Cricetulus griseus: one gene and its partners. The protein of the gene in region 1 purifies or fractionates together with the protein of each later gene. This does not show direct contact. Links are inferred from orthologs where the notes say so. Each region holds a gene or a part of one and is shown on either strand. Other genes may lie near its edges.

Region 1 (4,030 bases):
CAACCCATGTACAGGTGGAGAGAGGGAGAGCCCACTCCACAGGTTGTCATCTGATTTCCACAAAGTCTTCATGGCATGTGCACCTGCAACCACCCACACAATAATTTTTCTTATTTAAAGAGTTAAACATTAAGTACTGTAAATATGAAAGATTTAGATCATTATGGTCTCCAAGCAGCTAAGTGATGTACACAGGGATTGTCGACCTGCTAACTGCACGTCTAAGTGACTGGCATCAGGACAGGACCGTGTGTACGTACAGTCCTACTTTTTCTTTTTTAAGCCCGGCATTTGTAATTGATTACATGAACCATCTGTGGCTGCTTGTGAATCATGTTACAGTTACCCCACTGACATTTACCCAACATTTTTCATGTGGCAAAATGTTTAGTGTCGGAAAGCTGACACATAATAGCTTTGATGATTCAATAAATCAACTTTAGACACCAGGCTATAGGCGCATCCCCATTGATGTGGAGTCTCTCTCGGCAAAATTATGGCTGATGATTTCATTATAATAACGCTTCATCCTGAGCTTCCTGTGTGTAGACAAAATTATTTGTTATCACCAAGGTAACTTGACCCCCACGGTTGTTACGAGACAGGATGGGAGGGTGAGGGGGGCGGTCAAAAGAGGTGAGGACCGGAGCGGAGGAAGATGAAAAACAACCTCCGGCGGGGGTAAGAGACGGTCTCTCAGGGAAGTGCTTCAGCAAGTGCGGGCCGAGCCGAGCTCCTCTCACTGGAGGCCTTCGCGCCACCTGTCACAAAGGAGGGGCCCGCGGGGAACCGAGGTCTGCGGGGAGGGGGGGGGGACGGCCAGGCCGACCGGAGGACGCTGCGAGGCCCAGGCTGGACCGGGAGGCGAGCTCACGTGGTCTCCCGCACACCGCGGGAGGACGCCCGCGCGCCCGTCCCCAGCCTCTCAGCCCCGCCCTCCAGGCACGTGACCCCGCGTCCGCTCTCGCGCTCGCCCGCGCTCCCTCCTCGGTGGCGCAGGGCTCTGTGTCTGCCCTCCCGCCGCGGCGCCCTTCCCCTCCCGGTCCCGTCCCGCCGCCTCCCCCACTCTTCCCCCTCCCCACCCCTCGCGCGCCAATCACGGCTCGAGCTCGCGAGCGCCCGCCCCACCACCCTGCTTCGCGCCCTCCCATTGGCCGGAGCCTCAAGGACGCGTCCCGAAGGCGGGCGGCGACCATTGGTGGGCCGAGCCAGCCGAGTTCCCGGATGAGGGAACATTCTGCGGTATAAAGGGCGCGAGGAAGGCGGGAGACGGCGCAGTTTGAATCGCGGTACGACGGAGGAGTGGGCGCCGGGATCTCGCTGTGCGTCCGCCTGGCCTCGTCTCTTGCTCGCTTGTGCGATCTTCAGCACGGTCCGAGATGGTAACGTGAGAGTGACGGCGGGCCGCCGGGCGGGGGGCGGCGGCGGCCGCGAGCTGCGGGCTTGGAGCGGGCGGGGCCGCCGTCGCCGGGGCTTGGGCGAGGCGGCGGCGGCGGGCGGGAGCGTGCGGAGACGGGTCGGGGACGAGCGGAGGGAGGTGTTTGGTTGAGCTCGGAGCTCCGGGAGGGAGGCGACGGTTGGAGGGGGGCGCGCGCGGCGCAGCTGGGAGCCGGCGCGGGGCGCGCGCGGGGCGCGCGGCGGGGGTCGGCGGGCGGGCGGGGAGAGAGGGCGGGGGCGAGCGGCGGCCCGGAGACCCCGGCGGGCCGCGAGCGCGCGCCCGCCGCCCGCCCGCCCGCCTGCTCGCTCGCCCGCCTCCGGGACGCGCGGCCGTGGGGGAGGGGCGCGCCGCTCCGCGCCGCCTTGGTAATTCTATCCTCTCCGTCCCTCCCGGGCTCGCGGGCGTCGGCGGCGCCGCAGGCTGGCGGTAAGGCTGGAAAGGACTCCGGAAAGGCCAAGACAAAGGCGGTTTCCCGCTCGCAGAGAGCCGGCTTGCAGGTAGGCAGCTGCTGCCGCAGACGCAGCCCGGGTGACCCGGCCTTTATCTTTGCACCCCCTGGCTTGTTTGTCGGCGCCTCGCATGGGTGTTCCATCTTTTGCGTGGGTGATGTGTCGCGACTTGGCCTTCGGAGACTGAATGTTGGGGCGGCGGGGGCTGGTGGGGGGGGCGTCGATCGCGTGTGCTAACTGCCCGGGCGCCTTGGTGCACCACCGTCCTTGGCTTTGGCGCGCGCGCGCATCATCTTTCCATCTCTGAATCTCCTCTATCTTTGTGCATTTTTGTTTGTGTGCATAAAAAAAAATCAAGTTCCCTGTGGGCCGTATTCATCGACACCTGAAATCTAGGACAACCAGCCACGGCCGTGTGGGCGCGACCGCCGCTGTGTATAGCGCAGCCATCCTGGAGTACCTCACCGCAGAGGTAAGCGGGAGTGAGTATGCCTGTGATCTGGAAAAGGTTTGGGGGGCGGGGGGGGGAAAGTGGGCGAGAGGGAAGGAGGAAAGTGATGCAAGAAAACTCCCAGGCCCTAAGCGCGGCGCTTAGGCAGAGAGAGGGCGCTAGAGGGAGCTAGTGTTCAGCCAAGGATCCCGCTGAGCCAGAGTTTGCTGCTGTTGCAAAAGCAATTGCGTGCCCCTTCAGTCCTTTGCATCATTTGCATAGTTTTGTCATTCAGGTAGTGGGGGGATGACGACAGTTGGTGGGTTAAACACCACTGACGTTTAGCCAGCTTCCTGGATCTTGACTGAAGGGAATTGGAAAATTGATCAGAATTTTGCCTTTTAGGTACTAGAATTGGCAGGAAATGCATCAAAAGACTTAAAGGTAAAGCGTATTACCCCTCGTCACTTGCAACTTGCTATTCGCGGGGATGAAGAATTGGACTCTCTGATCAAGGCTACAATTGCTGGTGGTGGTATGTTATCACTGACACTCGGTTACTTTCCAATAAGAAAATTCCTACATTTTCATTGCTTCCAGAAGAGGGCATTTAAATATATTTTATAAATCATGGTGGTTTATGGAATTTGGTTTACACAACATCATTCATCATTTTACTTTATGTTTGAATTTTTTTTTAAGACCTTTCAAGTTGTAGATTTACCTGCTTTGATTTCATGTACTGTTTCAAAATGTTTCTACAAAAAGTAGAATTAATCCTTGTCACTTTCCTAGGTGTCATCCCACACATCCACAAATCTCTGATTGGAAAGAAAGGACAACAGAAGACTGTCTAAGGATGCCTGGATTCCTTATTATCTCAGGACTCTAAATATTCTTAACAGCTGTCCAGTGTCGGTGATTCCAGTGGACTGTATCTCTGTGAAAAACACAATTTTGCCTTTTTGTAATTCTATTTGAGCAAGTTGGAGGCTTAATTAGCCTTCCAGCCAACCAAATTTCTGCATTCGAGTCTTAACCATATTTAAGTGTTACTGTGGCTTCAAAGAAGCTATTGATTCTGAAGTAGTGGGTTTTGATTGAGTTGACTGTTTTTAAAAAACTGTTTGGATTTTAATTGTGATGCAGAAGTTATAGTAACAAACATTTGGTTTTGTACAGACATTATTTCCACTCTGGTGGATAAGCTCAATAAAGGTCATATCCCAAACTAGTTTTAAACTTGCTTGATGATTACTACTAGATCTCATTCAGCTCCCCTACCTTCTTTGCTTACTAATCAAACACTTCATCTGTAGACCAACAAGTCATAACCAATTTGTCATAATGAACTAGGCATGCTGTTGGACATTCACAGTAACTGTGAAAGGCACTGTATCACAATTTGGGACAGCTGGACCGGTAGAGACCCCCAGGTATAACATAATAACCTCCACAGAATGAACTTAAGATGTAGAAGTTAAATCATTCTCAGTGACCAGACACTGTTGTCAACTGTGAAATGCTAGTCACAGGGGATGCGTGCTATTTTCATAGACTAGGGTAACATGATGAAAACATTGATACATATCAGGCATGTTCCTTAAGAGCTTGAGAAAACGCATCTGCCCCTTTCACCCTACCGAGACAACATGCGTGCTCCTTTCTGAGGCAAAAATTGGTAACAGGAGGTGGTATGCATGCAACCTCTGC
Region 2 (4,109 bases), about 40 Mb from region 1:
ATTTTGTTATTGTTGTTTTGAGGCAGGGTCACATTTTGTAACCCTACCTGGCCTAGAACTTGCTATGTAGAACAAGCATAGATCTCTAACTCACAGAGAGCCCTGGCCTCTGCCTCTTGAGTGTTAGGATTAAAAAGGTATGAAACACCAGGCCAGGTACTTAGTTGCTTGTGGGTTGTTGATGTTGTTTTCTTTCTTTAGACAAAAGCTTTCTATGTGACTGAGGCTGGCCCAGAACTTCCCATGGTAACCCAGGCTGCCCACAAATTGTCATCGTCCTGACTTGGACTCCTAGTGCTAGGGGTTACGGATGTCTGCCCCCACCCCTGCTTTTAAGGCACTGTTCTCTGTTTGCTTGTTTTCTTTGAGATAAGGGCTTCTCTGTGTAACCCTGACTGTCCTGGAACTCCTTCTGGAGCCCTGACTGGCCTCAAACTCAGAGATCTACCTACCTACCTCTGCCTCCCTAATGAAGGGATTAAAGGCATGCGCCACCACCAGTCAGCTTCATGTTTTTTTTTTTTTTTCTTAATTGAAATAATGTTTTTGAGCATGCTAGGGATAGAATCCAGGAGCATGCAAACTAAACAAACATACCTCCGCTGTGTTATATCCAGGCTTCTTTTCATTTTTTAAACTTTGAAACAATTCTACTACACTAACTAGGCATGATTTGAATTTGTGATTCTCTTGCCCTATAATGTGTGAGAGTTAGGACTGACTGTCATTGGAATTTTAGAGGAGGGAAATGAAAAGGCCAGTATTTTTAGAAAGGCTCCTACTAACAGAATTAAAATAGAGGTGGTGAGGAAAAAAGGGCTTGCTGCGGGCCTAGTACACAGCCTTTCTCTGTGTAGCTTTGGAGCCTGTCCTGGCACTCGCTCTGGAGACCAGGCTGGCCTGGAACTCACAGAGATCCTCCTGCCTCTGCCTCCCCAGTGCTGGGATTAAAGGCATGCGCCACCAACGCCCGGCCTAGCACACAGTTTTAAATCTAGTACTCAGGAGGCAGAGGCAGGAGGATCTCTATGAGTTCGAGACCGGCCTGTACTACACAGACAGTTCCATGCCTGCGAGAAATTATGCAGCGAGACCCTGTCTGAAAACAAACAAACAAACAAAAGGTGGGTGGTGTGGAGGGGACATCCTGGTACTGTTTCTAGGCTCTGCCTAAGAGTGGCCAGGACAGCCTGGTGAAGAAGGCTTAGAGGCTAGATTTAGAAGCGTTCGATGCTCGGTTGCTTTTGCCTGTAGTCGCCGGGCTTCCGCCATTGGCTGCCGCCCACAGGAAATAGTGTCGAGCTCCGATTTCCGAGAACGCGAACTGGGCAAGGGGTTGCGGGCGGCCGCACAGTCTCTGTAGGCGGTATGAGTTTGGCTGGAGGCCGGGCCCCTCGGAAGACCGCTGGGAACCGCCTTTCTGGGCTCCTGGAAGCAGAGGAGGAAGATGAGTTCTACCAGACGACTTACGGGGGTTTCACGGAGGCAAGAGCCGGGCCCAGGAAGAGGGAGGGGAGGAAGCGGAATCTTGAAGGGAAAACCCTGGACAAAGAGGAAGGGGGCGGGGAGTAGAGAGAGGTGTTCTGAGAGCCAATGCTCCGGACTGGGTGACACTGTGAGTGCCTGGCTTCGTCTGTGTGTCTGCCTTTTCTTGTCCTGTTGTCGGGCTATCTACGAAGAGGAACCGCTTCAGAAACAGAAACTTCATTAGCACACTCCGTTTTCAGCTCTCAAATAATACGGTTTTCTTAGATGACCGACCCTCTATTGGCCGTTCTAAGAGAATCCCCATTTATATTTCTATCATACAAACAGAATTTCAGTTTCTAATTAAATTTGGCTTCTTTTCATTCTCTGGTTGCTTTGTAAGGTCTGTAAGCTTAGAGTTCAGTTTTTTGTTTGTTTTTTCGTTCAGGGCTGCCTCTTGGCTAAATTTTTTTATTAATAAAAACTGTTCATTGATTAAATATATGTGGAGCACCCAGGTCAGTGTACCATATATGATGGGTTGTGCTGAGCTCCTTGGAAACATATTAAAAACTGCCCTGAGGTTGGGACTATTGTTTGTGGCGCAGTGGTAGACCACTTGCCTAGTAAGCCCTAGATCCTGGGATACCAGCCCCTGGCAAAAAAATGAAAAGGGAAGCCCCATCCTGCAAGGAACTGACTGGTTTCACAATCAACTAAGATACTTCATGATAAAGACTTAAAGTCAAGGAAGCATGAGATACTGTGGTAACCGGGAGAGGTTTGTGTTTTGTTTTTTTTTTTTAATTGTATTATATTTGTGTGCTTGCATATGAAGATCAGAGGGCAGCTTGCAGGGATTCAGTCTCCATCCATCATAGGAGCCCCAGGAATCAAACTCGGATGGTCAGGATTGTACAGCCAGCTACTTTACCCACTGAGCTATCTTGAAGGCCCCAGAGTGGTTTAAAGGTAGGCACTCATGGGGAAATAACATTTAAACTGAGGATATTATATAAAAAGTAGGCGTTGGTTGGATGAAGAGTCAGGGAAGAGAAAGGCTCAGTTGGAGAAGAAGATGAAATAGTCTGTTTGTAGAGGCGCCGAAGCCCCACTGTGACACCTACAAGTCTTTTGTTCTCTGGAAGAGTAAAGATTGTGATAGCTAGAGGTTGTAGACCTGAGCTGGATTTGTTTTGGAAGGTTTTGTTTTGTTTTTTAGAGACAGGGTTTCTCTTTGTAGTAGCCCTAGCTGTCTTGGAACTCACTATGTAGACCAGTCTGGCTTCACAGAGATCCACCTGCCTCTGCCTCTCATGTCCTTCTTAGGTGCCCTCTCCCAGGAGTACCACTCCCATGTAGCCCTGGAACTCAGAGATCCACCTGCCTCTACCTCTCGAGTGCTGGGATTAAAGGTGTGCCCCACTACCCCTGGCCTTATGTAGTTTTTTTAAAATGGGGTTACTTAGCCAGCCTCAAAGTCTAGGCAGCCCCCTGCCTCACACTCTTGATTCCTGGAATTGCAGGTACTTGTCACTACCCTTGGATTCCCCCTCCACCTCCGAAATCAGATTTTGAAGGACATAATGAAGCAGCATTAAGCAGTTTGACTGCTCATTTAGAGGTCTGAGATGAGGCATCAAAGTTCCATCGTTATATTTGTGATTAAAAAGATTACTCTCTAGCTGGTGGTTTCCGGGAGGCTGGGACAGGAGTATTACCACCAGTTCTAAGCCACATGGGCTGTGTTTCCAGTTCTGTCCTGACTCTGCCATATATATAACTATGAGATAAGCCTAAAGAGGGCAGTGGCAGAAAAGAAACATGGACAAGGGCTGGGCTGGGGATGTCACTCATAGGATAGTGTTGAGAGTTGAAGGGAGTTTTTTGAAAGAAAAAAAAAAAGTAGACAAGACTTTATGACTAACTAGGAGCCTCTGTGTACACAGCTTTAGTAAACTAGTTTAAAATAGATCTCTCTCATTCTTCCTCCAAGGTTCATTTTCCTATTCCTGTCATTTTATGAGATGTTATTTTAATAGGTGCACCTCATGCTTCCAAAAAGGATTTAAGAAAGGTTACAATAGAAACAAAAATTAGGAACAATAAAAATAGAAAATGAGCAGAACAAAATATATTAATGTATGAAATTTCAAAGACTAAATAAAAATATTTTTAAAAAATCAGAAATATTTGTGCCAAGAATCTAGCTAAAATGGAAATATTTGATAATTCTGAGCTTCCTGGTAGCCAGACTGAATCCGTTCTTTTCTAAGACTGAAATATATGATATATTCAAGAAAGACAAACCTATTTAACATTAACTTCTAGGAAGAATGTCTCATTATTTCCTTACATGAAGTACAACTAAAGTAGTAACAGGTTTGGTAGATGTAGAATGTCCTCTTGTTGTGTATTAAGGAGTGGAAAAGATCTTGTCCAGTGCTACGACAGTAAATCCGGAGTGTAGTAAAAACATTAAGATTGGGCACACTAGTGGGAACTTGATCTACCACTCTCTGGTAATGTGGCTTAATACCAGGGTAGAGCTGAGTTAATGTGTTCTGAGTCTCTTTCACAAACATTAGTTAGGAAGAACGGTGGTCACTTGTGCTGGATTGAACTCTGGCTGACTTAGGGTT
Region 3 (3,968 bases), about 130 Mb from region 1:
GTGGTGGTGGTGTGATGGTGGTGGTGCACGCCTTTAATCCCAGCACTCGGGAGGCAGAGGCAGGTGGATCTCTGTGAGTTTGAGACCAGCCTGATCTACAGAGCGAGTTCCAGTACAGCCAGGGCAACACAGAGAAACCCTGTCCTGGAAAACCACAAAAAAAAATTAAGAACTACTTAAAATTGTTTGCTTTTGTTTTCTTTTGTATGGCAGAGTCTCACAGTCTCCCAACTAGAACTCTATGCTGCCTGGAACTTGATACGTAGACCAAACCAGCCTCAAGCTGCCACCCCAGTGCTAGGATTAAAGGCATTCTCCATGCTGCCAGATACACACAACCTCCATGAGCCCATACTCTAGATAGGAAGACAAATCCCAGCCCAGTATCATATAGCTATGCACACACTCATACACACCCTTATTATTATCAACGTTTTTCTCCCTGTTTAAATGTTCTTGGAAGGCATACTTTTAAGATCAGCATGGGTTGGGTTCAGGGTTATATTGCCTGTCATCCCAGAGGCACCAGAGGCAAGACCATCACTGGAACCAGGAGCTGTAAACTGTCCTGTACAACACAGTGAGATACTGTCTCTTAGAAGAAACCCCTGTGACTCAGTTGTTAAGCACATGTTTGAAGACCTAGGTTTGACCCTAACCCACAACTAAAAGAAGCTGCTCTGCTGCCAACTTCATGGTTGCATTCTAATATTCTTAGCCAATTTGCTATACTTGACTATTTAGCTTGCTTCCTTGTGTACACTTTATTTTGCTAACTGTACAAGTGTCTATAAATAAAGCTTAACATTGCTGTACTTACTCTTCTTTAGTATCTCTAAATAATTCCTGAAATGCTAAGAAAATTATTGTCAAAGTATATGCACAATGATATACACTGATGAACATTTTCAGGAAGAAAGTCACAATTTATAGCCATATCTCAATTTCTTTATTATACAGTAAGATAAAAACAAAAACTATCACATTGAATTGGACAAGAAGACAAACCAACAGAAGGAAAAGAGCCTACGAGAAGACACAAGAATCAGAGACTAATTTATTCATACACTCACAAGTCCCATAAAAACCCTAAACTGGAAGCCATAATATGAATACAGAGGACCTGGCACAGACCTGTGCAGTCACTGGGCATGCTGCCTTGGTCTCTATGAGTTCATGAGTTTTGCTCATGCTGATTTAGTGGGCCTTGTTTTCTTGGTTCTCTTCATCCCCTCTGGCTCTTAAACTTTTTCCACCTCCTCTTCCACAGGGTTCTAAGGGGAGGGATATGATGGCAACATCCCATTGAGGGCTGAGTGTTGCAAGGTCTCTCTCACTCTCTGTGTAATGTCTGGCTGTGGGTCTTGATTTCTACCTTAACAAGGTATTAGGTAGCCAGGAGTCATGCCTATAACTCCAGCACCCAGGAGGGTGAGACAGGAGGATTGTCATGAGTTTGAAGCTAGCCTAGGCTACCGTGTGAGACCTTGTCTCACTAAAGAAATACACCGGGGAGGAAGCTGTAGTTCAGCAGGACAGCACTTGCCTCAAATTTGCTAGGCTCTTGGTTCATTCTCTAGCATATTAAAAACACAACAAAACAAAAAGAATCCCTTTCTATGCGTGTACTATTTACATGCATCTGTTTGTTTATGTGTATGGCTATTTTTCCTGGATGTGGATCCCCTACTACTGGAGTTACAGATAATTGTTAGAGTCCATGTAGGTGCTGGGAACTGAACGTAGGTCCTGTAGAAGAGCAGAAAGGGCTCTTAACCACTGAGCCATCATTTCTCCAGCCCCATGTATCTGGTTCTCACTGTAAACAAAACAAACCCCCCAAAACAATCCAACAAAAACCCAACATATATAGAAGCCTTATTTTAATAAATGTCTTCATCAGTGTTTGCTCACCATACGAGGGTTCAACACCTAGCTTTAGAAAAAAAGAAAGAAAAAAAGAATTCAGTCAAATGCCCACTAAGGCCTGAAGTGGTGGCCCTCAGCTGTAATCCTAGCACCCAGGAGGTGGAGGCAGGAGGATCTGAAGTTTAAGGTCATCCTGAATTACACCTAGTGCTACAGCGCAGCTGAGGTTGTGGCTCTGTGGTACAGTATGCGAGGCACGGGTTTGAGTTCTAGCATCGAGAAACGTCTATTATTTATGCAAACATACATTTTATGCAACACATGCTGAGATGCCACTGTAGTGTTCCTGATTTTACCAACCAAGTCATTCAAATTGATTGCCCCAAAGCCTTCAAACTCCCTGGATTCTAATGCTGTTGGTTTTACAATTTTGGCGGTTGGGTGGCACTGAACCTTTTGGGGATCCGATGGAAACCCTACAATTACGCTTATCCAAAGGCGAGTATGCCCAAAACGCTATCCACTATTTCTGAAATGTCATGAACTCTGAGATCTTTGGCTCCCTCAATCTCGAGAAACCTATTTCCTGTTACCAAACAAAACATACATTCCACTTCCGGAGTCCCAAACGAAAGTCAAAATCACTTTCAGTTCAGAATATCAAACCCACCAACCCAGCTCCAAATGGGGCACCCCTCGGCTCGGGCTGGGGCAGCGCGAGGGCGTCTGCGGATCACTCAAGTCGGAAAGCGCAGCCTGTGAAGACACGAGGCTTTCAGGTCCTGTCCCTCGGGGACGACGGGCACTTACGAGACATTGTCATGGCTGTAACCGATTTTGGCGTTGTAGGCTCCGTTATCCAGAACTAAGGTCGTCATTTCAGCAGCCACCAACGCCACGGTCGTGCGGGTACTACCCACTTGGGTCTCCTCTGCTCAGGCTTCTTCCGGTACTCTATGGTTTGTAGAGGCGGAGCCGAGCGTAACTTCCGGTTACTCTGGCAACGGAGTACGCCGGAAGTCAGGCAGCGAAGCGGCGTTTCTTGTCCCCCGGAGCATCCAGTTCTCTAACTTACTCTTTTTAGGGAGCGAGGACTTTCAGTACTAGAAACTACTAAATACCTTTTCTCCCTTTAGTTATCTTTCCTTATTGCGCACATTGGCGAATGAAAGCTTTTTGTAACCTCTGTGGTTGACTGCGTGTGCGTGCCTGTGCGTGTTTTGTTGAGACACTTCTATTCTTGAAGAGTACAAAACCATACGCAGCGTGGGGTCTCTCCAGTCTCACCTTTATTTCTTGGCGTTTGTCATCAGGTTGTAGGATTTGATCACAATAAATAATGTATTTGCTGTTTAGTTATCGGCCTTTTTTTTCTTTTTCTACTCACATTCGCGTTCCCCAACTAATCCCTTTATGTGTCCTATCTGCAAAAGACATCTGACATGCTCCCTCTCAGTTCTGATTCCTGGAATTAGATGTCCTTCCTGCGTGTTTCTGTAAAACGGAGGGCTGGTGTTTCATAATTTTAAGAGAATTTTGGAGCCGGGCATGGTGGCACACGCCTTTAATCCCAACACTGGAGGCAGAGGCTAGTGGATCTCTGAGAGCTCAAAACCAGCCTCGACTACATAGAGATTTCCAGGGCAGCCAGAGATGCATAACAGAGAGAGAGACCCTGTCTCAAAAAAAGGGGGGGGGGAGGAAGGAAGGAAGGAAGAAAAAAAAAGAAAAGAAAAGAAAGTTGGATTGGAATTCAGACTCTGGTACAAAATGGCTAAATAATTTTGGGTAATGACTGATAAAAGGAAAGCACAACCTACTGTTCCAGTTTATTTACACATATTAACTAGTCTTCAGGAGATAAATAGCTAAGAGTATAGCCAATAAATTCAAACTGTGACTATGACATTAAATGTTTAAGCAACTTAATCAAGTCTTGGGTTATCTCAAGTATAAAATAAAGCAATATGAGTCCCTCTATATTACATAATTGTTTGATGTTAGTGTTAGTCAAGTACCTGTCAAGAGATGCTGTTACCATCTTTTCCATTTAATACTTATTTTGAGGTAGGGTTTAATGTAGCCCTGGCTGGCTTCAA
Region 4 (3,347 bases), on another chromosome or scaffold:
CCAGATGTCAGTTATCCTCAACTATAGCTCAGGAAGTAGTAATGATGTTATAAATAAACCTGCTTACAGCTAATAGGTGACCAACAATTATGCCAGGACTTAACCCATTATGATACAGATCTGGCAGAAAGCTGACTGTATGGTGACTGGCAGGGATCACCCTTTGTGTTAGGACGTTGCACCTTCGAGTGTTGTCTTTAGGAATCCTAAAACTAGTCTGTATCTGTTCAGAAATCATGTACCCCAGATGACATCATGCTCACCTTTTTATATACACTTTGGTTTCAGTTGAGCCATTTTGAGCCCTTCTGTACATTTTAAAGTTTCCCGTGGACTTCATATTTTCCTTAGCTTAGCATCTTCATGCATCTCCCTACAAATACATAGCCAGAAGAAGCTTCCAAAGTCTGTTTCGAACTTGGTACAAATAGTAAGGCATTTTCATGAAAGTAAGTAAGAGTCAGGACGTATGTGTTAATAGTGGAATGTATATTTAACTTCAGCTAATTTTAATCTTCACCATCTTATTTAAGGAATTAATTGTTATTTAACTTAATCTTAAGGGATTACATGGATCGTCTTTTGGATGAGAGTGAAAGTGCTGCTTCTAGCCGAGCACCATCCCCTCCTCCTACTGCCTCAAATAGTAGTAACAGTCAATCGGAGAAAGAAGATGGCACTATCAGCAATAGTAATCAAAATGGTAAGAAACCAGGAAATACACCTAGTTCTTCATAGTGAAGGACACTTGGAGTGGCTCAAGGAAATTTACATTAAACTCTGGAGGCTGAAAAATGTAAATAACATGAAACATTAGCACACATACATCCAAACACACACCATAGAGTAATTGGAAAGAGTTTATAGTGGCATCATAAACTGAAATTCATGAAGCAAGCTACACAGGGACTGTTGATTTCAATAAATTTGTGTTCAGTAGCATCTCCTTACCTGAATGGAATAATACCTAAATGTGAATACTGCTTTAACTTTTAGACAAATCCAGACACATTGCATCAGAAATATTTATTTTTCAAATAGTTTGAGAACCTTTAACATGAGCTATAATAAAAGGCAAAAAGTTAGGTAATAAGTGAAATTTGAATATTTGACTTTACATAATAACCTTGAAAAATGAGCACATGTAAAGCAGCTCTCAGCCTGAGCATAGGTGTTTTGCAGAACCATTTGTGTGTGTACACACAGACACACACACACACACACACACACACACACACACACACACACACACACACACGACAGTGTTCTTCATTCAGAGTGTTTGAAGGGCCATCTGTAAGAGCTGTTCCAAGAATTGTTTTGATTTCTACTTTAATTGTCCCAAGTAAGAAAATAGCAAGCATGATTGTGCAGCATCCCAGTATGGAAGAAACTGGAGTTTAAAACTTTAAAACTGGCCAGTGTCATGGAGAACATAGAAGAGAAATTGCCAAAGCTTTGACCTCAAACTTTCACTGAGTTGCATATGTATTACTTAGTTCATTTCACCATTCTTTTCTGTTCTTCTCCCTTGAAGAATAAACCAGCCAGATAGGATGTGGGTCTCAGCAGCCATGCATGGGTCTTGTTAGGTTGGTGTTCTGCAGTGTGCTGCCCCTTCCTTTATAGAGATGTAAGGTGCAGTGTGACTGGAACATGGAACTGAGGTGGTGCTCAGCAAGTTGAGAAGAATGTCAGTCCTTTTGTCTGTTCTTAACATCTTAACACCAAGGAAACCCTTTCCTTTTTTAGCGTTTTGATGAGAAAGCACTATTAGGGCAAGATAATTTTCACAAATGAATAAAAAATGTTATTTAGCTCAGAAGACATCAGGTAAGTATGATCAAGATTTTCAGGTTTTCCAAAGAAAGTTAGAACTCTTTTTTGAGCTTAATTTTATATACATATTGTTTTAATTTTTTAGCTTTATTTCTTTTATATTACAGTTATTTTTTTAAATCAGCTTAACCTAGCTTTTTAGACTAGGTAACAGAATTATTTCTTTAGTGTTATATGATATATATAAGAACTGGGAAAAATTGAGTATTTTCTTTTACCAAAATGTAATCTTTGAGACCCATCCTTTCATGTCGAATATTTTTCACATAGTTAAGATTTAATTATCTCCAGTCATGTGTGCTAAGTGGGCTTTGTATTACCAAAATTGTGTTCCATGGTCATTCTGCTGCTTGTTCTAACTAAAATAATTTTACTTCGCAGGGTAGTATCAGACCACTTTCAGATCCTACCTCCTATGGGAACAATGTCAGTATGTTCCTACATAGTAATACTTAGGATTCTTTGAATATTTTATTTAATGTGTATGTATGCTTTGTGTGCATGTATGCCTGTGTACCATGTGTGTGAGACCTGAGGAGGCTGGGAGAGGATGTTAGATACCCTGAGACTAGGGTTGTAGGTGGCTGTGAGCCTCCATGTCGATTCTGGGAACTGAACCCAGGTTCTCCTATAACAGCATCAAGCATTCTTAACCACTGAGCCATCGTTCCAGCCCCCAGTATGCTTTTAATATATTTCAGATTCTGATCTTTGTTCTTAAAATCCATTGCTTTAGTTGGTCTTCACATCACCTAACATATACTTGCTTTGTGTCTCATGGTATGTAAGGAAACTGAGGTGTAGTCTATGAAGACTTGGGTAGTATCAGCTGATAAGTGGTGCAGCCACGCTTCACCATGAGTATGTTCACATTTGATACTTTGCTTGTCCTTTGATGAAAACTCATGTTGTAGCAGCTATTTTTATAATAGTTAAGCTTTTTGTATTAAGTTTTATCTATCTTTCTCTGAATGTAGGTGTGTCATCTAATGGACCAGGTGAAATACTAAACAAAGAAGAAGTAAAAGTTGAAGGCTTACATGTTAATGGACCAACAGGTGGAAATAAGAAGCCACTTCATACAGATATGGACACTAATGGTTATGAAGCAGATAACGTGACCACCGACCCAAAACTTGCCCATATGACTGCAAGAAATGAAAATGATTTTGATGAAAAAAATGAGAGACCTGCCAAAAGGCGACGGATAAACAGCAATGGGAAAGAAAGTCCGGGTTCGTCTGAATTTTTCCAGGAAGCAGTCTCGCATGGAAAATTTGAGGAACACGAAAACATAAACGACTAAGTCCTAGGCCTTTGTTACTTTCTTTGCAGTAAATTCTGGTGTGACTACAATTTTCAGGGTTGGTGGGTGACCTTTAGAAAGCTGATTTCTTTGCAGCAGTTGGTTAAATCTTGACATTTGAATTGAGTTCTAACTTTAAGAAATGGGATTCATAATTCCACCTTTTGCAAGTTCTTTTACTTCAAATTGTTGAAGACTCTTT

The links. The genes of interacting proteins can lie anywhere in the genome.
Region 2: the proteins of histone H2A.Z (region 1) and Vps72 purify together in Homo sapiens (affinity purification with mass spectrometry; 4 studies listed by BioGRID and IntAct, with this or other methods). This does not show direct contact. The link is inferred for Cricetulus griseus from reciprocal best matches to the Homo sapiens genes H2AZ1 and VPS72.
Region 3: the proteins of histone H2A.Z (region 1) and Actr6 purify together in Homo sapiens (affinity purification with mass spectrometry; 4 studies listed by BioGRID and IntAct, with this or other methods). This does not show direct contact. The link is inferred for Cricetulus griseus from reciprocal best matches to the Homo sapiens genes H2AZ1 and ACTR6.
Region 4: the proteins of histone H2A.Z (region 1) and Mier1 purify together in Homo sapiens (affinity purification with mass spectrometry; 3 studies listed by BioGRID and IntAct, with this or other methods). This does not show direct contact. The link is inferred for Cricetulus griseus from reciprocal best matches to the Homo sapiens genes H2AZ1 and MIER1.

Annotation. Positions count from the first base shown.
Region 1 is NW_023276806.1:21,775,362-21,779,391, reverse strand, and holds histone H2A.Z, read left to right. Parts: upstream 1-1,225; 5' UTR 1,226-1,379; coding exon 1,380-1,382; intron 1,383-1,857; coding exon 1,858-1,935; intron 1,936-2,245; coding exon 2,246-2,359; intron 2,360-2,722; coding exon 2,723-2,852; intron 2,853-3,112; coding exon 3,113-3,174; 3' UTR 3,175-3,552; downstream 3,553-4,030. UniProt on the Homo sapiens protein: Variant histone H2A which replaces conventional H2A in a subset of nucleosomes. Nucleosomes wrap and compact DNA into chromatin, limiting DNA accessibility to the cellular machineries which require DNA as a template.
Region 2 is NW_023276806.1:61,386,898-61,391,006, reverse strand, and holds the start of Vps72 (vacuolar protein sorting-associated protein 72 homolog), read left to right. Parts: upstream 1-1,296; 5' UTR 1,297-1,368; coding exon 1,369-1,485; intron 1,486-4,109. UniProt on the Homo sapiens protein: Deposition-and-exchange histone chaperone specific for H2AZ1, specifically chaperones H2AZ1 and deposits it into nucleosomes.
Region 3 is NW_023276806.1:155,885,214-155,889,181, forward strand, and holds the start of Actr6 (actin-related protein 6), read right to left. Parts: upstream 2,814-3,968; 5' UTR 2,748-2,813; coding exon 2,680-2,747; intron 1-2,679. UniProt on the Homo sapiens protein: Required for formation and/or maintenance of proper nucleolar structure and function. Plays a dual role in the regulation of ribosomal DNA (rDNA) transcription.
Region 4 is NC_048595.1:46,601,570-46,604,916, reverse strand, and holds part of Mier1 (mesoderm induction early response protein 1), read left to right. Parts: intron 1-563; coding exon 564-703; intron 704-2,816; coding exon 2,817-3,145; 3' UTR 3,146-3,347. UniProt on the Homo sapiens protein: Transcriptional repressor regulating the expression of a number of genes including SP1 target genes. Probably functions through recruitment of HDAC1 a histone deacetylase involved in chromatin silencing.